Xenopus tropicalis: one gene and its partners. The protein of the gene in region 2 interacts with the protein of the main gene of each other region in a pairwise test. Links are inferred from orthologs where the notes say so. Each region holds a gene or a part of one and is shown on either strand. Other genes may lie near its edges.

Region 1 (4,080 bases), on a different chromosome or scaffold from region 2:
GAGGCTATTATCCCACTGCTACTATAGGCACCATCTCTCCCTACTATACCTGCTATCCCACAGCCACAGTCCCTTCCCAGAGGCTATTATCCCACTGCTACTATAGGCACCATCTCTCCCTACTATACCTGCTATCCCATAGCCACAGTCCCTTCCCAGAGGCTATTATCCCCCCACTGCTACTATAGGCACCATCTCTCCCTACTATACCTGCTATCCCACAGCCCCAGTCCCTTCCCAGAGGCTATTATCCCCCACTGCTACTATAGGCACCATCTCTCCCTACTATACCTGCTATCCCACAGCCACAGTCCCTTCCCAGAGGCTATTATCCCACTGCTACTATAGGCACCATCTCTCCCTACTATACCTGCTATCCCACAGCCACAGTCCCTTCCCAGAGGCTATTATCCCACTGCTACTATAGGCACCATCTCTCCCTACTATACCTGCTATCCCATAGCCACAGTCCCTTCCCAGAGGCTATTATCCCCCCACTGCTACTATAGGCACCATCTCTCCCTACTATACCTGCTATCCCACAGCCCCAGTCCCTTCCCAGAGGCTATTATCCCCCCACTGCTACTATAGGCACCATCTCTCCCTACTATACCTGCTATCCCACAGCCCCAGTCCCTTCCCAGAGGCTATTATCCCAGTTGATATTATTAATCCTTTTCTGACACCTACACAAATACACCTCATGTCATGTTACTAAACTCCCTCCTGCTTTCCATGTAGAATCACCTGAGAATCCCAAAGCCCTGGTTAGTGCCCGGACAGGGCCATTACAGGCATCATATTAAAATAAACAAGTGCTGCCCATCACGGACAGACGGGCCCCGGTTAGAGTTACCTGCTCCAGGCGTAATTGTGCGAGCACCTCAGGTGTCACACGCAAAAATGTGTCCTTAGCACTTGTGAGTTTCAGGGACACAGCAGCCCCGGGCGGTCCCGGACCTAGCATCCTACTGTGGCGTACCCACAGCAACCCCCTTCACTCCAGCGCTGTGTATGACGAACGTGCAAGTAACAGAACTTCCATCGCTAACGTTATCAGCTCCTTCATGCCTACTGGGTAACTTCCGCGCTGTTTCACCTTTGACAATCGAGGAAATCCCACTCACCCTGTGTCTGCTGACGTATAGTACCTCCCGCCCAATCAGAGAATGGCGTGCTCTAATGACGCCTGTGTGCGGGGCAGTCCTTCCGCCTATTGGTTCTGCTGCCTTTCCGCCTATTGGTTCTGTGTCCCGGCCTGTGTTTGGTACAGGGAGAGAGGGAACTATTTCTTAGACAGCAGAAGCCGATGGCAGAAAGCGCAGCAGTGCAAGTGCAGGCCTACGCACACCATGAGCAGCGAAAGATATGCGCCTCACGGGCCAAGTACCGCGAAGGACGGAGGCCCAGAGCAGTCAAAGTGCGTGAAACATTTACAGTTTTTGTTTTGGTTTTTATACGTCCACACAACTAGTATTCCAGCGTATTCTTGCGGTGGGACTGAGCGCCAGTGCCGCTCTAGCAGGTTTCCCTTCGTAGAAATTGCTCCCTAGAGTTATCACTGAGTTACAGCTTCCATAAGAATGTTAGCTCTTCTATATTCATGTGGTTTTAATTGGGCACTGTGTGGGAACTGGTAATGATTTCTGTTTCTACATAGGAGCATATTGTTCCACTGAAGGAAAAAATGCTGCCTTTTTATCTGCACCCACTGATAGGGGAATAGTGTGGGAGAGGGATTAGAGTTCTAGTTCACCATTTGGAGGCAGTAGGTTTCATTATAAACTATGGGCTATTTCCCATGATTGTAATTATAGATGTCACAGACCCAGTGGCTGCAACTGATAAGGCTAAATATATGTTTATGAATAAAAAGATAATTTTGTGGTTGGGCCCAGTGGTCTCTAGTTACACCAGCAGTCATGTATACTGCAAGCCAGTGGGGTACCACAACAATTTCAATTTAGGGCCCAAAAAATATTTGTATGTTAACCTATTCTACCAAGATACATTGACATTTCTCATCAATTAGGGTCTTATTGGGCCACTTCCATTCCTGGGCCACTTCCATTCCTGGGCCACTTCCATTCCTGGGCCCCCTTCCAACTGCAGGGTCTGCCCTAGCACACACTCCAGTTTCCCTTTCCTTGCCCTGTAACATTACATCATTTCACTCTGCACACATTCTCATACAACCAGCACACTTAACATGTCTGCATATAAAAAAAACACACACAAACTGATACTATTTTCTTTTAATTTCATAAAGAAGAGTATAATGCACTCAGTTACTGGGTTCACGTTAAACTGAGGGGTATATTTAAAAAAAAAAAAAAAGTTTAAATTTGACGCTTACCAAGATTGACTTGTAAGGGTCTGTTTTAAGCTTTCCATATCATGTGACAAATGTAAGATGCTGATGTGCATTTAAATTTTAAATGTTTGAGAAATAAAAAAAATTATATTTTGACCAAAAACTGAAAATGTGCCTCATCTCAGTTTTGTGCCTGTAGCCCTCGGCTATTGCACCCAGTCAGATTTATTCATATAATGCCAGAGATTCTCAGCTGGATTGAGGTCAGGCCTGTGACAGAGCCATTTGATCACTGGGATCACTGTTCTACTGAAAGATTAATGTTTATTTTTTAGCAGCCTGGAACAGGCTTTTTTTTGGTGATATTTCACTGTATTTTGCCCCATGCCTTGAAAACAATATTCCCAGTTGCTGCGTTAATTATATAACACACAAATCTGTGGTACTAATGAAGAATCAGGCTTTTGCGCAGAGAAATCTTTAGTTTAGGACTTTAAAAACTGTTGATTCCTTGCTGAATACTTGGACAGATAACCATTTGCTTTATACAGTATGGCAAACATGGCATATACAAACAGTTGTATCACTCTGGCTTGATTAAGCCATTTTACAGATGATGCAAATAGAAAAACTTTAACGTATGTTCAAGCCAAAGAAAAGTATCCAGTGCTTTCTAGCAAGTTACTGGCTTTCCTTCAAAAGCGATACCAGTAAAATTATATAGCCATCCTCCCGCCAAGAGAGCTATATCACTGGGCTTTAAACTATTATATAAGCAGAAATGAGTTGCTGGAAAGCTGCACACCATAAGAGCAAGTTAATACCTGGGTGCCAGTGCTGAAAGCGTAGATACACAGGGTTGGAATGACAGCACACGCAGGATGTTTTTCAAGAAGAATCACAGAGGTTTAGATAAATAAATGTGAGGCTTTATTCAGTCCGACGTTTCAGTTCCTATCTGGAACTTTCATCAGGGACAGTAACATCACAGTGCAGTACAAACCTTTTTAAGCACAAAAGGGCCCTAAACCTCTGTGATTCTTCTTGAAAAACATCCTGCGTGTGCTGTCATTCCAACCCTGTCTATTATATAAGCAGATAGTCTATACTTCTTCCACCAAGGGACACAACAAATGGCTTCTGAAATTTTCTCAATTACAAATGTCTCAAGGCCTTACAGTATGCAAATAAATGTCTTCCAATGGGATCATATAAAGAAATGCATCTAAAATTCTTTTTATTGAGCCTACTACTCGCCAAAAGTCAGTCCCAAATAGGACTCTCTGGAGGCAGATTTATTTAATTGTTTCTGGACATGTCCTCATAGTAAAAAGTTTTGGGTATCAATAACTTGTTATGCCATTGATAACTTGCTAGACTATGTTCCTATGTTACCAAAATGGATTATGTTCCTATGTTACCAAAATTGACAATGTTTGGTATCCCTACCAAATACTAGACTTATTGGGGGAGTAGAAAAGTACTGTTTATCATATCTGCAGCTGCTCGTAAATATATGCTACAAGTGTGGATAGAGAAACAACCCCGTCACTGTCTTTTTTTAAAAGTAAATTTTATATATTCACCTATTATTTCACCTGTTTCACATGGATTGGCTAGAAGTCTCCCTCCAAAAAGAAAAACACACGAGATGAAGAAAGAAACAAATGGCAATCAGTTTTAAAATGTTTTAAGAACAATTATTTTAAAACAAGGTTACTGATCCACCAGTAGTGCTATAGATGCTATAGAAAGCGCTTTCTCTT
Region 2 (4,126 bases):
AGGGGTTATTTTTTTAAAAATGGGATGTGGTAATTGGGGCGTGGCCACAAAAGGGGGCGTGGTCAAAAATTGCCGTGCTGCGCGTGCCAAATCTTTTTGTCCCTCTTTTCATTTTTCAAATGTTGGGAGGTATGATATTATACTTCCTGACAATCTGATTAATACTATACAAACAAAGTAGTGAGAAACTGGGCAGTAGCAGTAATAGCAGGTAATATGACAAAGGAGAAAGTCAGAGACCTTCAGCGGGGCATGGAGCCCCTATTAGCTGGGCATGGAGCCCCTATTAGCGGGGCATGGAGCCCCTATTAGCGGGGCATGGAGCCCCTATTAGCTGGGCATGGAGCCCCTATTAGCTGGGCATGGAGCCCCTATTAGCTGGGCATGGAGCTCGTATTAGCTGGGCATGGAGCCCCTATTAGCTGGGCATGGAGCCCCTATTAGCTGGGCATGGAGCCCCTATTAGCGGGGCATGGAGCCCCTATTAGCGGGGCATGGAGCCCCTATTAGCTGGGCATGGAGCCCCTATTAGCGGGGCATGGAGCCCCTATTAGCTAGGCATGGAGCCCCTATTAGCTAGGCATGGAGCCCCTATTAGCGGGGCATGGAGCCCCTATTAGCTGGGCATGGAGCCCCTATTAGCGGGGCATGGAGCCCCTATTAGCGGGGCATGGAGCCCCTATTAGCTGGGAAAGCTCTCTCTGAAAATAAATATCTGCTATTGGCACAATTTTTTTTTTTTTTAAAAATGTATTTTCTTCTATTGCAAAAATTCTTACTTTGGCAAAAGGGACAGAGTTGGGGGGGGTGATTTTATTAAAATTGTGAAGCACTTCTTTAAACATACAGGCTAAGCGTAATACTAGTGCCAAAACGCGTCAGCCATCGTTCTAACAAGTGCCACAACCCACAACAGGATTTCGCTGCGGTATCAGCGGTAGATTTCATTGAAGCGTTCCGCAAGCTTTCCTTCATATTATATGCAACTGACCCTTGCATACTCCCTCGCTAACTGGAAAAGAACATTTACATTACAGGGTCCCACTAGTTACAAATTCATGTTTATTTAATTTTCTTTTCCCGCCACCTCCAACTCGTTTGCCAAACACCAGGCCAACCAGTGAAAGCTGAATCCCCTCCTTCCTCATCTTCATAACAGCGGGGGCTGTAGAATCCCATTGGCTAGCGTACACCATCGCCGCCTGTGATTGGACAGAGCTGCGCGGGAGAATGCACAGACGTTGTATTGAAAGAAGTGACTGTACCGGACACAGTCATTCCCGCGCTCTGCTCTCGCCTGGTACCGATATGAATTGCCTCAACGTACCCGAAATCATGCCAGGCTCGCCCAGCAAATCCCGGGGCCAGATCCAGGTAAGCCGGGCACAGCATTACATTTAGCCATGCAGTTTACTCTCCAGATGACTTGTCATGAAGTGAAGTGATTTGTAGTTCTAGGAGAAACTGGCTGAGCACTCTTGTTATATGACAGCTGCAAGGGAGTTTTTGTGTTGTATCTAGCCTAACACATCTTTATGAGAGGCCCCCTAAAGGGAACGTGTATTAATAGTGGGCTCAGGTGCATGTATAGATTATATTTGCCCTCAGTATTATACACCAAGGGCTGTGAGGCACAACACACTGCATCATGCAGCTCCCAGACATACATCTTGTATATAGACTTACATTTGGGTTAAGTATATATTTAAGTGCAACTGTACAGGGCAGGGACTTTGTTCCTTATTAGTGGGGTTATCATTTTTATATAAGTACCCAAGGGCATGTACCAAATGTGGCAGCCTTAGGGGTTGCACTCTGGTGCCTGGAAAGAACAAAACAAAATATATCCCTGCCCTTGAAGCTTATGGTGTGTGCCAAATAATTCTAGCAGTAAGTGGAAAGACTGCTAAGAATTCTGGTTTTTAGGGTAGTGGCACATATGGCATCATAGGGGCTGGGATTCAAAACAGAACCTGCTATTTCAAGCACACAGAGGCCTAAACAGCCAGGGACAGGCTCCAGAAATAGTGACTGTTTGTGGCATGTACCAAAATCTGCAGATTGGCAGTCTGAGCCTGATATTCAGGGTTATTTTCTAGGGGGGTTTATGGCACACAATGAATTCACTTTCTTTTGTATGTGAGCCCCATAAAGTGTTGGCAAAGACTATTCCCAGTGTCTTAGTACAGGGATCCCCAACCTTTTTTTGCTTGTGAGCCACACTCTGCTGTAAAAAGTGTTGGTGGGCCACACAGGCATGAAAAAGGTTTTTGGGGTTGCCAAATAAGGGCTGTGATTGGCTATTCGATAGCCCCATGTGGGCTGCTAGCCTGCAGGAGGCTCTGCTTGAAGTAAAACTGTGTCTCTGTGATTCCAAAACTTGCCTCCAAGCCAGACATTCAAAAATGAGCACCTGCTTTGAGACCACTGGGAGCAACATCCAAGGGGGTGGGGAGTGACATGTTGCTCAGGAGTCACTGGTTGGGGATCACTGTTGTAGTAGTTGGGATTGGGTATATATCATATGCATTCTTACAGAGTTTATCTATAAATAGAATACTAATGCTGGCAAAGGATGGAATGCAGAATTGTGTTTTGAACAAAGGTTTGACTGAATACACATTCTGTAGATAAAAGGTTCTACATTCCACAACATAGATTCTACATTCTGCCGCACTCACAGGTGGGGAGGAGAGCGGCGTTTATGCTGCTCCTTTGTTCTCCAGCCCCTAGGAAACAAGCAGTATTGTAAAAATCTGGTCTGTGTGCTAATTTTGAAGTAGTTGAAGAGACTGCCATGACTATTTTATTTATTATTTTCATTTTGGGGCCTTTACATTTCACGGTCTTTGGCGAACCTTTGTATGGATACAGGGCCAGAAGACCCGTCCTATTTATAGTGCCATACAATGGTACCTTTATCACATTTTGAAGATAAAATACAGAGAGGTTTGAGTTAGTTTTTACTAAAATTTATTAGAAATCCACTTTAGCAAAGCATTGCTACCACTGGAAATTATTTGGCCATGCAATTGTATGCTGATTTCTGCTGCACTGCTTTGAAAACCTGCTTATGTTTGGAATTTATGACCTGTACAAGTCAGAATTCTGGTATTGGCTCATTCGGGAGACATGGGGCCTTCCAGATCAGTGAAATATAAAATGCTTCTGATATATACTTCTGTATTGTATAGAAATTATTTTTATCATGTTACAGAAGTGGAGTTGCACAAAGACTCTGAGAATGTTAAGGTTGTCCTAACAAAGCAATGGGCAGTTTCAATATGTAAACTAAAAGACAAAATGCCCCAAAGAACACAAAATGCTCAAATTAGCTACATGGTTAATGATAAAAGATGTTAAAAAGTATACATGTCCATCAAATGAAAGTGTATATACCATGACTGCTATAGTTGGTTTGTGTGTTAATTTGTATTTCAAACCCATTTGTTTTTACTTTTAGGTGATATTTGGGCCAATGTTTTCTGGAAAAAGGTGAGTTCAAAGGACCGCGCAATTCTATATTCTCTCTCATGAGCTGTAATCTAGATGTTCCTTATTGAGAACAGTGTGTTGCTATGGCAATGGGGCACGCTACTTCCAATGGGCTAAAGTGCTTTGGAAGGAGGGCAGTAGGGGAATCAGTCTTGGTCTGCGTTGGGACAATTCTTCTTTTTTTTTTTTTTTTTTTTTTTTTTTTTTGAATGGATGGTGGTGCTGTTTGGTATTTGCTCACATTGCATCCATTTTTAGAGTGCTGCAGTATGTATTATAGTAAGCCTTTTTAAAAAAGTATGTTTATTGTCCTTTAACTGCTGTATGTCATCGCATGAGACTGCTTATTTTCCTATTCTGCTGAACAAATTTTCTGTATATTTTACAGCACAGAGCTGATGCGCAGAGTGCGACGGTTTCAGATTGCACAGTACAAGTGCATGCTTATAAAGTATGCGAAAGATACACGCTACAGCAAAGAGCATCTTGCTACACATGACCAGTAAGCAATTTTACACATTCTGTATTGTTAAGCTCATCTTATCTACATATAGAAATATCGCATATCATTGGTTGTGGTACATTTGTATTTACTGATTTTAAAAAGCATGCCCAAAAATCATATAGGACT
Region 3 (4,282 bases), on a different chromosome or scaffold from region 2:
GGTTGGGGGTGTGGCTCGGCAGGGTAGGCTTGGGTATAGCTCCTACTATATGCTCTCCTAGGGGGTTTCGTTTGCAGTTGCTAAAGGTACTAATGTCGGTGTCAACTGACAGTGATGGGAGTTGTAGTTCTGTGCTACTGGTACTTTTCCAATGTAGTGTGTTTGTGAGTAATGGGGTTACTGTATTAGTGGCTAAGGATGGGATGGTGTAAGGGCTGCCTGTGCTTAGATTGGGGAGGCTTTAGGGTGGGATGAGTAATGGGGTTCTGGTAGATATAGGGAAGTGGGAACCTTGGGTAATCAGGAGTCTGTGTATTAATGATTTGGGTTGGACACTGGGTGAAATGGGGCACTTCCTGCCCTCTAGTGGGTGGGTATGGGCTATATGGGTGCCTTTGGGTGGGATTTAGCTGCAGGGGGACCAATTCAAGGTGCAGTGGTGTGGGGGTTAATATTAAAGGTAGGTTGTTGGGGGCACAGAGGGGTGGGTGGATGTGCCCAATAGATGGGATGGAGAGTGACTTGGGCACGGGGTACCCTCCTCTTGTTCCCCCCCCCCCCACTAATTTCCTTTCTTGCCTTTAGGGGTTGATAACTAAACCAAGTGACACCAAAATGACTGTCAAGATTGGAATCAATGGGTAAGTTAAGGGGTTAATAACTTCATTGGGGGTGGGTGCTGGGGCTTAAGGGGGTAATATGCAGGTGAGTGGGGGGAGATGCTGGGGTATAAGGGGGTAATGGACCCAGACAAACAGCTGGGGGGGGGTTAATGGCTTGGCAGATTAAAGGCCGATGGGATAGTGTTCTCTGCACGGTTTAGCGATTGGCCAGTGTAAGATGCCCCTTGGCTCTGGCAGTTGAGGGGTTATAAGTAATGAAGCTACAGACCTTTCATAAATGGTTAATGGTCCAGGCCGATTATTCTTTCAAAATGGCTGCTGCTCCTTAACCCCTCCCCTGCCAGAACCATGCGGAGTGTGAAGCTTCCTCACGTCCCACTGAGTCACTGCTCCCCACCTCACACCCCAACCCCTCCTCTCCATCCGCTGCGGCTCCCCATTGCTCCACCTTCTGCCAGGAGGGGGGTACAGTAATGCGCATGGGGGTGTCCCCAGTGTCTGGCTGCTGATGTCTCTCAAGGACAACCCCAAGGTCACAGTGTATCCTGGGCCAGGGTCACCCTTGCACTGTCAGTGTCCTATTGATGAGCTGTACCTGGGGGGCTGATGCACGGCACCTTGGGTGAATCCCCTCCCCTCGCTGCTGCAGAATAAGGAGTAATTGCACAAGTGTGGGGAAGCTGAGTCACGTCCTGCTCCCTGGTGGCAGCCGCACGTAGGCACAGTCCCCTGGCTGTTTTATTCTGGTTAGTGACCATAATCCTCACAGCACAGAGTCTGACTGGGCTCTCGTGAACCTTCTAGAGACTTCTCTCATTAAAGTGGGACACTAAGATGCCCCCCCCTGGCATGGCTAAGTAGGGCTCCTATTAATAGAGGTGTTGATGCCAGCTGCTGTAACCCACGCCAGGGACATTATCATTCTGCCCTGCACGTCTCTGCCAGGACTCGGATCCAGTACTGCCCCACAATGGAGGCTGCTCCCGTCACTCTGGCCACTCATCTCTCAGCCTTACTACACACCCTCCTGTTTGTCCTCATTACGCGTCGCTGAACTTCACTGTTGAACTTCACCCCGAGCAAAGTTCAGCCCTGAATGTGCAGCCAGTCACTCGTATTGTGCCTCGAAGCATGCAGGGCAGTGTCAGGAGTCGCAACAGGCAGGCTGTGTGATTATTGCCTGTAATAACAGGGCAGTGGCAGGCAGACTGATTATTGCTTGTAATAACAGCCATTATTCAGGTTGTGCTGCGTGAGCAGTGCTTGGATAAACTGCCCCCCCCCCCCCAGGCTGGCTCAACTGAGTCTGGGTCAGTGGAGATTTCTGTGTCAGCAGGTGTTGTGCTAATGGCGGCACAGACCTTTTTTTTAAAGGGCAAGTAAACCAAAGTACATTAAGTTTGCATATTTCTTAGTGACAGATTGCCTAAATCATGTGCCCCCCCCTTGTGCCATTTAGAATAGTGGGATCCATTTGATCTAGGTCTCTGTATTCTCTATGTAACTGGCCCCTGTTTATTGCTATTCACTATAATGACAGCTATGTAGGGTGCCCTTCCCACCCTAACTGCTTAAAAAGAGGGGGTAGCAGTGCACCCCATTACTTCTATGCTGATCAACCAATTGCACCAGGCAACACTGCCCAGCAAGAGTCGGCAATTGCCAGTGCACTGTGGACAAACATTGGTTGGCTTGGGGGTTCCCCAAGCCAACCAATGAGGGGAACCAGCATGCCTTGATTCTATGGAGGGTTATGGGAATTGTAGTTTAACATATAGGGATCAAAGGACTAAGCTGTTGCATTGTGGTTTCAGTGCATTGGCTAAACTTCCCCTTTAACATCTAGCTGTGACGTCGCATCACTTATGATGCAAGGCTTTATCTTCTTACTGCTTGCCAGTGGCACAAGGGGTTAAGCGCATAAACATCTAACGATAGAAATCATTTTTTCTTTTTAAGATTTGGCCGCATCGGGCGCCTGGTGACCCGCGCTGCTGTTTTAAGCGGCAAATGTGAAGTCGTTGCAATCAATGACCCCTTCATTGACTTGGACTACATGGTAGGTGGCTCCGTTCATCTGCATTTTTGTGTTCTGGAGTATAAAATGCTCGGGAATTAACCCCTCCCACTCTCCGCAGGCTTACATGTTCAAATATGACTCCACCCACGGCCGATTCAAGGGAACAGTGTGTGTTGAGAATGGCAAGCTGGTTATCAATGGCAAGGCAGTCACCGTCTTCCAAGAGTAAGTGAGGTTGTGGCTCAGTCCTGGCCTGGTTCTAGACTGGGTTCCTGCAGCAGAATCTAATCACAGGGGGGATGTTTACAGTTCTCTCCTCTCCCCAGGCGTGACCCCTCCAACATTAAGTGGGGCGATGCTGGTGCAGTGTATGTGGTGGAATCTACTGGAGTCTTCACAACCAAAGAGAAGGCCGGTGTAAGTAGTTACACCCCCCCCCCCCATAACATTTGGCTTTCTATATCTAGAATTCACCCTGGACTTTTTTTTTTTTAATTTTTACCTGCAGTTGCACTTGAAGGGAGGTGCCAAGCGTGTCATTATCTCTGCCCCCTCAGCTGATGCCCCCATGTTTGTTGTTGGGGTGAACCATGACAAATATGATAACTCTCTTCACGTTGTCAGGTAAGTGTGGGGTAAAAATGGGCGTTCCTTTAAAGGGGGAGCGAACTACCACAATGCTACAGGCTGTCTGCAAGCTTCTGTATTACTGGGTTAACTCTTTAGTTCTCAATAGCTCATGGTTTGCAGCTTCTGTAATCTAATAAGGGCTTGTTTACTATAACAACCATGTAAAACTCTAAGCCTGAAGGCTGTAAATCCTTAAACCTTTTTTTATCAGGATATTTGTCTATACAAATACTGATCAGGCAGGGGCTCCCTCTACTGCCCATAATAAAATTGCAGCCTGTTCTAGGTTTGCTGCTTGGCCAAACCATTCTGTACTTGATGGAACCTCTCAGTAATTGGCTAGTGCTTAGGCCTCTGTAGGCAGGCATTGATGTAGGCTGCCCATTCTCTGCCACTTTCTTTAGCTCAGGAATGTTAATGCTGTAAGTCTCACAGGCAATTACTGTTCTACATAAGCTGGCTAGCTTCAACTGGCAAAGTGGCTCTGCCTTCCCAGCCCTGGGCCTGCCTTTACAGGGCCTTGCCCCAAATACAAGCAGTAATGTGTCCTCCCTATATGGGCTGGCCTCTTTACTCTGATGGAATAAGGGAGTGATGCTTAGTTTACCTTTTCCCCTGCTTTGCCCGCAGCAACGCATCCTGCACAACCAACTGCCTGGCTCCTCTTGCAAAGGTCATCAATGACAACTTTGGCATCCTGGAGGGACTGATGGTAAGTGCAGTGGGGCTTATTCAGCTTGGGACATAGAGCCTAAAGCAAACTGTCTCCCCCCTCACCCTGTATGAGTGACCTTAATGGAAATTATACCCCCCCCAAACAATGTAGGTCTCTCTAAAAATAGTGTGAACAAGCTTGTACATAAAAACCCTGCTTTGTGCAAGTTTTCATAACTTAACTTACTTTTTTGTAGTATGTGCTACTGGGTAATCCTAAACTAAAAACTGCCATTTTATGAATTAAGGGCCGCCCCCTGGGATCATAGGATTCACAGTGCACACAAACAAGCCA

The links. The genes of interacting proteins can lie anywhere in the genome.
Region 1: the proteins of tk1 (region 2) and rbm48 interact in a two-hybrid assay, tested with the Homo sapiens proteins (2 studies listed by BioGRID and IntAct). The link is inferred for Xenopus tropicalis from reciprocal best matches to the Homo sapiens genes TK1 and RBM48.
Region 3: the proteins of tk1 (region 2) and gapdh interact in a two-hybrid assay, tested with the Homo sapiens proteins (2 studies listed by BioGRID and IntAct). The link is inferred for Xenopus tropicalis from reciprocal best matches to the Homo sapiens genes TK1 and GAPDH.

What each region holds. Positions count from the first base shown.
Region 1 is NC_030682.2:31,762,859-31,766,938, reverse strand, and holds the start of rbm48 (RNA-binding protein 48), read left to right. Parts: upstream 1-1,194; 5' UTR 1,195-1,309; coding exon 1,310-1,420; intron 1,421-4,080. Other genes in the region: pex1 (peroxisome biogenesis factor 1), read right to left, coding at 857-967. UniProt on the Homo sapiens protein: As a component of the minor spliceosome, involved in the splicing of U12-type introns in pre-mRNAs.
Region 2 is NC_030686.2:26,185,843-26,189,968, forward strand, and holds the start of tk1 (thymidine kinase, cytosolic), read left to right. Parts: upstream 1-1,290; 5' UTR 1,291-1,308; coding exon 1,309-1,374; intron 1,375-3,463; coding exon 3,464-3,495; intron 3,496-3,883; coding exon 3,884-3,997; intron 3,998-4,126. UniProt on the Homo sapiens protein: Cell-cycle-regulated enzyme of importance in nucleotide metabolism. Catalyzes the first enzymatic step in the salvage pathway converting thymidine into thymidine monophosphate.
Region 3 is NC_030683.2:10,006,119-10,010,400, forward strand, and holds the start of gapdh (glyceraldehyde-3-phosphate dehydrogenase), read left to right. Parts: upstream 1-1,396; 5' UTR 1,397-1,444; intron 1,445-2,582; coding exon of another isoform or gene 2,583-2,679; coding exon 2,680-2,682; intron 2,683-2,761; coding exon 2,762-2,868; intron 2,869-2,969; coding exon 2,970-3,060; intron 3,061-3,151; coding exon 3,152-3,267; intron 3,268-3,903; coding exon 3,904-3,985; intron 3,986-4,282. UniProt on the Homo sapiens protein: Has both glyceraldehyde-3-phosphate dehydrogenase and nitrosylase activities, thereby playing a role in glycolysis and nuclear functions, respectively.